Linked DNA regions of Drosophila melanogaster. The protein of the gene in region 2 interacts with the protein of the main gene of each other region in a pairwise test. Each region holds a gene or a part of one and is shown on either strand. Other genes may lie near its edges. The genes, in order: Cnep1r2, Xport-A and bond.

What was found.
Region 1: the proteins of Xport-A (region 2) and Cnep1r2 interact in a two-hybrid assay, tested with the Drosophila melanogaster proteins (one large-scale study listed by BioGRID).
Region 3: the proteins of Xport-A (region 2) and bond interact in a two-hybrid assay, tested with the Drosophila melanogaster proteins (one large-scale study listed by BioGRID).

Annotation. Positions count from the first base shown.
Region 1 is NT_037436.4:10,636,472-10,640,226, reverse strand, and holds Cnep1r2 (CTD nuclear envelope phosphatase 1 regulatory subunit 2), read right to left. Parts: upstream 2,082-3,755; 5' UTR 1,924-2,081; coding exon 1,902-1,923; intron 1,805-1,901; coding exon 1,733-1,804; intron 1,674-1,732; coding exon 1,527-1,673; intron 1,013-1,526; coding exon 858-1,012; 3' UTR 549-857; downstream 1-548. Other genes in the region: CG18628 (uncharacterized protein), read right to left, coding at 174-307, 371-428; E(z) (enhancer of zeste), read left to right, coding at 2,466-2,587, 2,650-3,381, 3,443-3,603. UniProt on the Drosophila melanogaster protein: May form with the serine/threonine protein phosphatase l(1)G0269 an active complex dephosphorylating and activating lipin-like phosphatases.
Region 2 is NT_033777.3:19,913,878-19,917,549, forward strand, and holds Xport-A (exit protein of rhodopsin and TRP A), read right to left. Parts: upstream 1,536-3,672; 5' UTR 1,418-1,535; coding exon 1,204-1,417; exon of another isoform or gene 1,200-1,203; intron 1,136-1,199; coding exon 999-1,135; 3' UTR 948-998; coding exon of another isoform or gene 606-947; 3' UTR 519-605; downstream 1-518. Other genes in the region: Xport-B (exit protein of rhodopsin and TRP B), read right to left, coding at 606-947; CG4465 (uncharacterized protein), read right to left, coding at 2,113-3,113, 3,169-3,672.
Region 3 is NT_033777.3:22,548,663-22,552,417, reverse strand, and holds the start of bond (james bond), read right to left. Parts: upstream 1,739-3,755; 5' UTR 1,540-1,738; intron 665-1,539; exon of another isoform or gene 563-664; intron 321-562; exon of another isoform or gene 142-320; intron 1-141.

The DNA.
Region 1 (3,755 bases), on a different chromosome or scaffold from region 2:
TATTGAATTTTAGTTCAATTTCTTCTGTAAAATAGATTTGAACTCGTTCAAAACCGAACATTTTAGAAAACCAAAACATTTATGTTCTTTGTTCAATATTGCTCTTTATTAAAAGTTAAAGGCGGTTTAAGATCGATGAAGTTGCCGTCACGCCTTGCTCCAAATGGAGATGTCTAGCCGCAGCAGGCGACGTCATCGTGCTTGTGCTGAGCCTGAACGTCCTCGGCGAAGTGAACGCTGCGGACCACCGGGTGGTGGTGATGGTCATCGCCAACCATGGGGGCCTCGTTGTTCAGTTGGGGAAGGGCTAGAATGTATGGGAAGCAGTTAAGTAGAGCTGTTGTCGAGCGTAACCCATTGCAATCCTTGCCAGAGGCCATGAAGAAGGCGAGGCCCAGGATGAGAGTGCACACGAGTAGGAACTTCATGGTAAAGCTGGTTTGTTGTACAGATGGCTTGCTTGCTTCTGATGCCTTGGAACTGCACAGACTCCCTATTTATACAGAATGCGGCTCGATAAAAACCGCTCCAAATATACAAAAACACTTGTCGTTGCACAATTTGCGAGCAACTCGTTAGTTATAGATGAATTGATATTGAAATGTCGCTTGGTGTATTTGGCAGCGATGGGTAACGCCATTAACGAAACACATAAAGCTTAACAATTGATTTCTTTTCTTTTTGTTTTTTTGTACAAAGGAGCTTCTATAATTAAACAAAATGTGTAGGGGAGAAATAAGAGGTACTTTAAAAATACGCTTACAAAGCGAGGGTGTCCGAATCAACATGTAGGAAAAAAGAAAAGGGTAAGGGAACTAGCAATTAACTAAATAAACGTCCTGGAAGCTGGCCGGTGCTCATGTACTGTTGTTGTTACTTTGCCGCGGCTTGAGTATCAGCTTCCCCGTGTCGTCACAGCTCATATTAAAGTCTCCCAGTACCATTCGCGTTCTCGATGTAATTATTTGCGGAGCTATGACTAGTTTCTGTATGCCCAGGATGAACAGGACGACTGCGGAGAGAAATGATAAGGTTTACAAAATCAGTAAGTCAGTTTCAAACCAAAAAAATTAGATTAGATTAAATGGAAGTGTTTGTTAGCTGAAAATTCTTAATCAGTTGGACTATCAATATTGATATATACAAATCGAATTTGATAAAGCGAAGAGCTTTGACAAGATTAAAGGCAACCTAATGTTGCTAAAATTTGGAGAATGTACTTATGTAGTTTGCATAGATGTGATAGATATAAGGAGTGTATTCTACTCAAAATAACAGTAGAAATACCTAAAAATTTGAAATTCTTGATTTTGATCCTTTCTTTTTACCGAGTAGCCTGAGATAACCTGATATATAGTATCGACTTGCTCTACGATATGATTATATGGATTTAAATAGCATGGTATGGCTTGGTATTAAAATTATTCTCCATACTAGGTAGAATATCCGAGGTTCAATGACCGCCGCTGTTGACTACAAAAAGTGACCTATGTACGGAGTACAGTAGTGGCTACACCGATTCTTACCCAATGTTAGGGTGGCGACTGTGAAGACGGGATGAATCCAGAGGGACTCCGTTAGCGGTACAACGGTGGTGCGCGGATCGCGTAGCCAGTACCAGGCGCTGATGGCGGTGCACATGGACATGGCGGAAAGGACAACTGCAAGAAGCTCTATGGTTATTACGGATTGTAATGCTCCCTGGTGTTCTCATTATACGGATGCAACTTACTGCGCCAGCGGAACGTCGAGGGACGGTACGATGAAACCACTTCGGTGAGGCGCCGCTCGAAGGCCTTGAGATCTGCAGAGGAGCGAGGAAAACAAACCCAGTTATGGTTGGTAAACATAGTCAGTGGCTTGCGCGTTTTCCGGCTCTCTTTTGCCGGCGAGTTACATACCTTCGCAGGCTGACGGTTCCATTGCAGCTATTTCCTCAAAGCTCGTGGCCGTCTTAATGCGATTAAATTTGTCCAGTTTAAATATTATTGTATTTATTATTATTATTTGATGAGGTTCTCATAGCTTTCTTTTCCTCTTTTTATGTTTTTGATGACATTCCACGTTTGAGAGCACTGATAACGGGCTGCGTTTCTCAACACTACACAAAGCAGGGTCGTACCAAAGAGGGGCTCTTTGTTTATTTCCTACTTTCAGTACAAAATGGTTGTATAGCTAATTTAAAGTGAGTATTATATTTATGTATTATTTATATTATATTTATATTATTTTAATACAAAAATATCATAGTTTTTATTATAATATAAATATAATTAATGGCTTACCGGACAAATTAAGTACCCACTAAATGGTCTTCTACATACACCCATGTGTCTAAGTTATTCTTCCTGCAGTACAACGGTCACACTGCGGCAGCTGTTGCAAAAAAAGGCGGATAATATTTGTAGCAAAATCAGTGTTTTTTATACGTAAAATCAACAAATATAAAGTCCCTCGAAGGCATTATGAATAGCACTAAAGTGCCGCCCGAGTGGAAGAGGCGTGTCAAGTCGGAGTACATCAAAATCAGGCAGCAGAAGCGCTACAAACGTGCCGACGAGATCAAGGAGGCGTGGATAAGAAACTGGTAAGCGCGGGAGAGATGGTGGATGTCTGGGAATCGAAAATCTATGTACACATATCCTCCAGGGACGAGCACAACCACAATGTACAGGATCTGTACTGCGAGTCGAAGGTTTGGCAGGCTAAACCCTACGATCCGCCGCATGTGGACTGTGTGAAGCGGGCGGAGGTGACTAGCTACAATGGCATTCCCAGCGGTCCGCAAAAGGTGCCCATTTGCGTGATCAACGCGGTCACTCCCATACCCACCATGTACACGTGGGCACCAACACAGCAGAACTTCATGGTGGAGGATGAGACGGTGCTGCACAATATACCCTATATGGGCGACGAGGTCCTCGATAAGGATGGCAAGTTCATAGAGGAACTGATCAAAAACTACGATGGCAAGGTTCACGGCGACAAGGATCCCTCGTTCATGGACGATGCCATCTTCGTAGAACTGGTGCACGCCCTTATGCGCTCCTACAGCAAGGAACTGGAGGAAGCCGCTCCGGGTACAGCGACTGCCATTAAAACAGAGACGTTGGCGAAATCAAAACAGGGCGAAGATGATGGGGTAGTTGATGTTGACGCAGATGGTGAATCTCCCATGAAGCTTGAGAAAACCGACAGCAAAGGGGATCTGACTGAAGTTGAGAAGAAGGAAACTGAAGAACCGCTGGAGACTGAAGATGCGGATGTTAAGCCCGATGTGGAAGAAGTCAAGGACAAGCTGCCCTTCCCTGCGCCCATTATTTTTCAGGCCATCAGCGCTAACTTTCCAGACAAGGGCACCGCGCAAGAGCTCAAAGAAAAGTATGTAATTTGATAACCAGGTTAGTAAATATCCCTTCTTACGGCTTTTTCTTTTTGCTAGGTACATTGAGCTTACGGAGCACCAGGATCCGGAGCGCCCACAGGAGTGCACACCCAACATTGACGGCATCAAGGCCGAGAGCGTTTCCCGGGAAAGGACTATGCACTCCTTTCACACGCTCTTCTGTCGTCGTTGCTTCAAATACGACTGCTTCCTGCACCGTAAGTTAAACGATGGGAACTGCTGCCAGCTGGGTTACCTAATGACTTTACGTTTTGTTTTTGCTTTTCTTTTCTTGTTTGGAAACAATATTATCTTACCAAAAAACACAAATCTGTACCATTTCTTAAACCCCCAAAAAAAAAAACGAAAT
Region 2 (3,672 bases):
TCTTATGAAATTGGTAATACCTAGCTCTTAATCACATACTGACCTCCTTAAATCAAATGATACTTAAGATATCTTCAGCTTTGTGGTATCTTCAAAACTCTACACTTTGTGCCACAAAACGAATACCTGAACACAAGCGATTTGTAGACAGCACTTATTATAAACCAAATGGCATAACTTCCAAGTCAAATACCTAACTACTTTATATCTCCATATAACTATTTTTCACGAGATGCTTCAGATGCAAACTAGCAATGACCAGATCTGGATTGAATAGAGCTTACTTACAGACCAAATCGATATATATTCCATGATATTTATAGAGATTAGTATGTTTATAAAGTTTTGTGAATAGGTTAGTAAGTGAGCTAATGCTGGAGACACACGAATATATTCTGCAAACATTTAAATAAAAAAGCTGAAAACCACAAGTTGGATAAATATTTCTATTGTTGTTCATAATGGTGGGATACAATGTAGAATTCGAATGTAGAGAGCAAGACAATTAAGTATGCAATACGGTTAGTAAGATATTTTATTCTACGAAACTCATATAAAACACACTAAGTATAATTGATACCATATATAATTAATTATAGGATGGGCTATCTTATGTTGCTCGTAACTAGGCAAACATCGAATGGTGGTAGAGTGCCGGTAATCTCCAAGAATCGTCGAAGGATGTGGCAATAGGTGTTTCCCATGGGCGGAGATTCAGTTCCTTCCGCCGGAATTCTAGCCACCTCGTCCGGAGTGTCCAGCTCCCTAACATAATCCATAAAGTTGTCCACATTGATGGGTGTCTCTGCCCTCGTCTTTGCTGGTTCCGTCTGCAACTTTCGCTGGAACTCACTTCTGTAGTAGTCGTTGATCATGGACATCATCCCCTTGGAATACCAGTAGATGATGCCAATCAAGAATAGGCCCTGCATGAATGGACCGACCATATTGTATGCTTCCACTTGATTTACTTATTTGTTCGATAGATCCTTTGGTTTCTACTGCTGATGCTCCTCGCGGAAGCTTTCAAGCCATTGATTAACCATGTAGAATTGCTCCTTGATGTGCGGCCAGGCCATGGTGACAATTAGCATTATGGTATTGGCGAAGACAAAGAGTTTCATCATTTCAAATGCTATTGGAAAGGGGTAATATTTATTAGTTAAATGAACTATATATTTTTAAGGAGCGAAAATTACAGACCCTCCGGAGTGCGAAGATAGTCGCCGAAGCCGGAATTTAGATCCTTGTCATCCTTCTCGTCCACCTTCTGCTCATGCTTATGCTTATCCTTCTCGTCTCGGCTCTTGCCCTTACCACCACCCTCGACTTTATCCTTGCCAGAGTGTCCTTTACCGTGCTTGTTCCTGCCGTATCCCGTGGATGAATTGGCAAAGGCCGATTTCTTCGGCTTCATTGCATCCAGATAGCAGCAGTTGGTCGGTCAGCCTGCACAGCACTGCATTTGATTGGAGTTGGTCCTGGAAGTGCTCTCCGCCTGGTGCTTCCTCGCCAACTGCTGCTCCGCAAATGACACAAACTTTGTGGTGCCAATTGGCGTGGCGCCGCTTCTGGCAATTTTATGGTTTCCATTTTATTGATTTGCGATTTCTGCTTGTCGCTCTGGCTGGGTGGGAATGGTGGGACAGGTGACCAAATAGAAATATGTTGTTAGTGGAGCAATGCGCTTGGATATTTAGCCGGGCATGTGTACTTATTATACCAGTCACACGAAATGTGTGTCAACTTGGTGGATGAAGGTGGTCGCCGGTAGGGTTGGTGTTTGTGGGTTTACATTGGTCCCAAATGGCTCTGGTTCCTGAAAGCTTATTTAAATATCATGCAAACCAGTTTTAATTTATTTAATGCCTTATTCTGCCAAATAGTTTATAATAGTTTTGCATTGATCTAATGTAAGCTTTACATTTTAAACAAACTACGTGTAGATGCCGAACTTTTGATTTATTCCCAAAAGTATGCAACCCAATATACATATTCGATTCGCGATAAGCGAATGTTTAATGAGCTAAATTCGAATACTGTTCGCGAATACTTGACACACACTACAACTAACTTATCAAATACGCCCAGACATATATTAAGTATACGTTATTACGTGAACGCAATAAGTTGCTGTCCCTTGTTTACCACAGCTCCGACCGGTGGCTGCTCCTTGTCCCGCGTGACCAGGCAACATGTGCCAAGGCCGCCCAGGATGACCAGCAGACAGAAGGCGGACAGGGAGAGGGCGGGGCTCACCTGCCTGAGCAGCGTGAGAAAAGAGGCGGAGAGCTGCCACACCCGCGCCCACGTGACGGCGGAGAAGGAGAGGCAACTACGCTGCTCCATTGGCACCAGTTCGCCCAGGCAGGCCAAAATCATGGACTGGGCGCAGGCTACGGCCGCCTGGGGAAGTGATGCCATTAGCAAGCCCAGCGTCAGTCCATACACCTCGGGCATATCCTCCTCGGCCAGGAACCAACAGATGCTACCGATGCAACCGACCACGATGGCAAATCCCCCCGCCCACTGCCACTTGCGTTCACTCAGGTTGAAGGTCAGGTGTAGGGCCAGGAAGCAGCCAAGCATCTCGGCCAGGCCCATGGCCAGTGTGTTGGACACCAGGTGCTCCCTGCCAAAGGACCGCACATGGAGCAGCAGCCCAGTGTTGACCACCATGAAGGTGGCAAGTGCCATGTGCACGGCCACCAAGTGGAAAGTACTCCTACGCTGGCCCATCCACAAGTGCATCCAATGCACGGCGGGCATTGGCTCCAGCATCCTTTCTCTCAGCTCCTCCAACTGCTGGGGTAACTCCTTGGACACTTTGTGCATTCTACCATTGGTACGGGCTGCTTCCAGCAGGATACCCACCGTTCGCTCGATGGCCAGTTGAGCTTCCTTGGTGTGTTGCAGCTGCCAGCGCGGTGAGTCCGGAGTCCAGGGTAGCAGAAAGACAATCACCAGCAAGGAAAGAGTTACGCCCAAGTATATGTGCTGCCAGCTGGGAGCATTGGAGGCCAAGCCAGGGAGCAGAATCAAGCCCAGAGCCCAGAAGCAGTCGTAAAGTATGAGGGTTCCTACGCGATATTTTCCCGCTGTTATGTCACCAACTGAAAAGTAGGTTATTTAATATTAAAGTATTCTTAAATATTCAATTTTACTTACATATATACTGCCCCGAGGTGATCATAAAACAGCACGAAACAGCAGCCAGGCATCGGAGTCCACAGTGCAGACTGAAGTCTTTGACAAGACCCATCAGTAGGCTGCACATGAGCAGGCACCAGATGCCAGTTCTATAAATCTGTCGGGGACTCAGGACCCGCATCAACTTGGTGGCCGCCACGCCACCGATTAGGAGGCCAAAGAGGTGCCAGTACTGAGACCAGGCCACAAAGAAGTCGCACAGACACACCAAATCGAACTCCATGGTCAGGGAGTGGAAACCCGTGGTGTAGAGGAACTTTCGACACTGGCGCATGGCGTAGGCGGACTCTCCGTAGTTAACCATCACATAGCAGTGGTCCAGCGAGACGGTGGAGTTGACATCCGGCCCGAAAGCCGTCGTATCACACTTGTACTCCTCCTCGGGGTACAGATCCGGCGCTGTGAACAGGATGCAGGCCATGAACCAGGCGGCTGGAATCTTGCAGAGAAATAGGATGAGCA
Region 3 (3,755 bases), 2.6 Mb from region 2:
TTTCGTGTGTTATGTCGCCACGTGTGTACACCAGAAAAAAAAAATATGATTTGTGTTTGGAAAATCCCAAGTACATGCAATTTATGATAGTAAACTAGTCTTGGTTTAAATATTTTTTTATTATTTTCCTTTCTGTTGCAGAACTCCTCAAAATGATATAGCTACATATATGCTGTGTAAATTGCAGTCCAATGGGGCGGATGTTTTTCTATAGATTACAGACAGCACGATTTTCACACGCACTTGAGTGTTCGCCGAATGACAACAATTAGCCATGTGAAATTCCCGAATACATTAGCCCATTGAAGTTTGGAAATGTGGTAGGTGTTGCGATGCAATCGAATGGATCCATAGAATCATGAGTACTGAGTAGATCGGGTAGGGTATGTAAACGGGTCGAGCACCCTGAAAATTGTTTAATTTTTTTTTCCACATTGTTATTTTCCCGACGTGGCTCCAGAGTGCAACAGGTTAATCATTTAGTTTTGCCTGTGTCAAGTGCACATGTTTTATGGTTTCATGCTTGCTTAGCGCTGTAAATTAATTTTTTTTTTTTTGCCAGCCGAGGCATTTACAGAGGAGGCACAAAAACGCGTCGAGTCAGCCAGCAGTTGGCAAACCGCAGAAACGCCACATAGATACATCCATAACTATAACCCACACGGTAAGAAAATGTTTTAAAATGCGATTAAAACTAAGCTTAGCAAATTCCCTAGCTAATTGCTTTTTGAGACATATATGAAAGTATATATAAATAGTTCAAAAAATCTGTTTGGCTATCAACAAAACTGTTTAGTTCAATTTTCGTTAAAATAAAATATATTAATATTATTTAGGAAACGCGAAAGATGACTTAAAAACCTTTTTCCCCTGTGCGTCTTAAGCCAGAGTTTGTTGCTGGTGACTTTTTGGGCCGACTGACAACCTTTAATTACTCTGTAAATATTTGCGGCGTTAATTGGATTTTTTTCCTGGCCCAAACGAAACCCTCTGCGTCTGTCTGTGTTGTTGTCGTTAGAAACTGTAACGGATATGGGCCGTGGTCTCTTCGTGGGAACAGCGACTTCTAATCTGTTTGCCTAACCATGAAATGTGGTCATCTTCGTGAGGGGGAGTGTTCAGTTTGGCCATAGTGTCAGGCGGCCATTTGCTTGGTGCTATTGAAGGCCATTTGGCTAGTGCAGCTGCAAATTGAATCGCAATCGATTACAAGTTCAAATCGTTTAGATTTGGCCGCCTCAATGCTGCAGCCAGAGTCTTGGCCTTGGCTGACTGGCAAAATTGCAGCTCCTCAAGCGAGTTTTCAGCATTTAATCTATGTACGATGCATTGGGTTAAGGTCGACGAGAAATATCAGACGGACCAATGGCGGTGGTGGCAGCAAAGTTAGCCAGGCTTAGACCAGCCACTGCCAATCGAGCTCTCAGTTTTTTTTTTGTTTTTTTTTTTTTTTTGCCCAAGAACTGCTCTCCAATTTATGCAACACTTTCATCACGCCTTTAGGTTGCCCCAAAAAATGAATTCATATCACTTCCGTACCTGTTGGTTTTTCGGCTGACTCGATTCCCTGCTTGGAACTTGGCTAACACACACACGCACTGGCGCGCACACACACACAATCGCACTACGACCGTAGCCTGAAGATTCAGTTACAGTTTACGGACTCGAAACTCGAATTCGGATTCGGACTCGGACTCGGACTCGACTGCGGCAAACGCCAAGAAGACACTAATATGGAGTTCTACCCGCTCGGCTGTATAAATAAACAAAATGAACGCGCTTCGCAGGCCGGCCAACATTTGACGCCGCCGTCGCTGGCGACGCTGGCAGCGCAGTCGCGGCACGGCCCGCACGGCGTATACTTAACCTTTTTTTTTAGTTGATTTTTGCGTCACTCGGCCGGGTTCGATACGATGCAAGTCGAAGTTGCGTTAATGGCCAATTTAAGTTGCGCGGCGGTTTCTTTTTTTTTTTTTTTATTTTATTTTTGCTTTAGAAACATTTAGTTTTGGTTTTATCTTTACTGATTTTTTGGTGCTTTCTGGTGCTAAGGTCAAGTTTGAAGCCATTAAAATGAATGTCTGTGGCGAGAAAAGAAAGCAAAACTGCTAACAGCAGCAGATAAGCCATGCTTTTTCTTGGTTTATTTTGAACAAGTTTATTAACCCTTTCCCGGTTGGCCAAAAAAACATGCAGATCCTATCGCAAAAAGAGCGGCAAAAAGAAAACGAAAGCAAAGAGGGAAGCGAAAAAGTACACAGTAAAAACGAAATATACTTCAATATTAGTATACATGTATACATATACATATATATATTATGGTATATGTTTAGAATTTAACGAACATACATAGAACATACTATGAGAGACTCTAGTTCATCATCATAAATTGTTAACAATTTTATGAAAATCTGTTTGTATGCCACTGAAAGTGTTTGGAATGAATTTCTAAAAAAATATATACATGCACTTTATATTTATATATAATGTGTCGCGATTTTTAGACCGCACGATGGAGTTTATATTTTTATTATGTGCTTTGACCTTTCAGTGATAACTCAGGTTAATTGGATTTTGCGTCATCCTCGCCACTTTCGTTTGATACTGTGTTATTTCTAAAAAACATCTCTATAAAGAAATGCTTAAAAAATTAACTACATTTTTGTAATAAAAATAGTTCCATTAGACCCTTTAAAATTAACAAAATAGATATGGATAATATTTTATATATGTAAGTTCCTGACACCACTTTTCTTTCTGTGTGCCCATTTAAAAAAACATTTTTCTAAAAACATCTCTATAAAGAAATGCTTAAAAAATTATCTACATTTTTATAATAAAAATAGTTCCATTAGACCCTTTAAAAATAACCAAAATAATAACATTTTATATATAAGTTCCTGACACCACTTTTCTTTCTGTGTGCCAATTTCCAGCTACAAAATTGGCTTTAAATAAACCGCTAGACAATTGATTTATTATCGCCGTCACGTCATTGAGACGAACTCAATTGGCAGCATAGTTATAAGTGCTTATATATATATATATATATGTGCCAATGTGGGGGATGACACGCCCCAACTCCATAACCTGGCACTTAATTTAACTACGCAAATAGGGTTTACGGGCGCAGTTAACACATTTCCAGATCGATGGGAAGCGATTGTCCGTCCAATGAATGGGTCAATTTCACGCACTTACTCTCACCAGTCTCCCAGATTCCCAGGTGATTTGTGTGACCCATGGTGATCCATGTACTCCACCCACGTGCTAAGTGCCCGGTCAAATATGCAAATGTTTGCCGAGTTGGATGCACTGCAGCTGTGTTGGTCGCCACCCTTCCGGGTCTTTGGCATTTCCATTTCCATTTGAAGCACATTGGCCGTTTAGCATTTTTTGTCGCGCGCTCGTCATTCAAACAGAAACAGCTCGCATTATCGGCGCTTCTCTTTTGTGATTATGACCCTGAACTTCAGCGCTACTAAATGTATTAATTCAGTCGATTAATACCGCTAGTCGGGGTCTGTGCGAAATCTGCTCCTTGGCCGAGTTTCTAACGTAGCTGGTCAGAACGCCGAGAGCTGATGGATGATATTGGCCTGGATTGGTCAATAGGGTATATCATCTTGATGGGCTGCCCCTGAGCAAAGCAAGTTCTATAGTCTTATGTTTGAAATTGAATTTGTTTAACAAAGATGAATGACTCTTGACTAAACATATTGGCCTTTATGTGCAATAAATATTCTAAGGGCGCT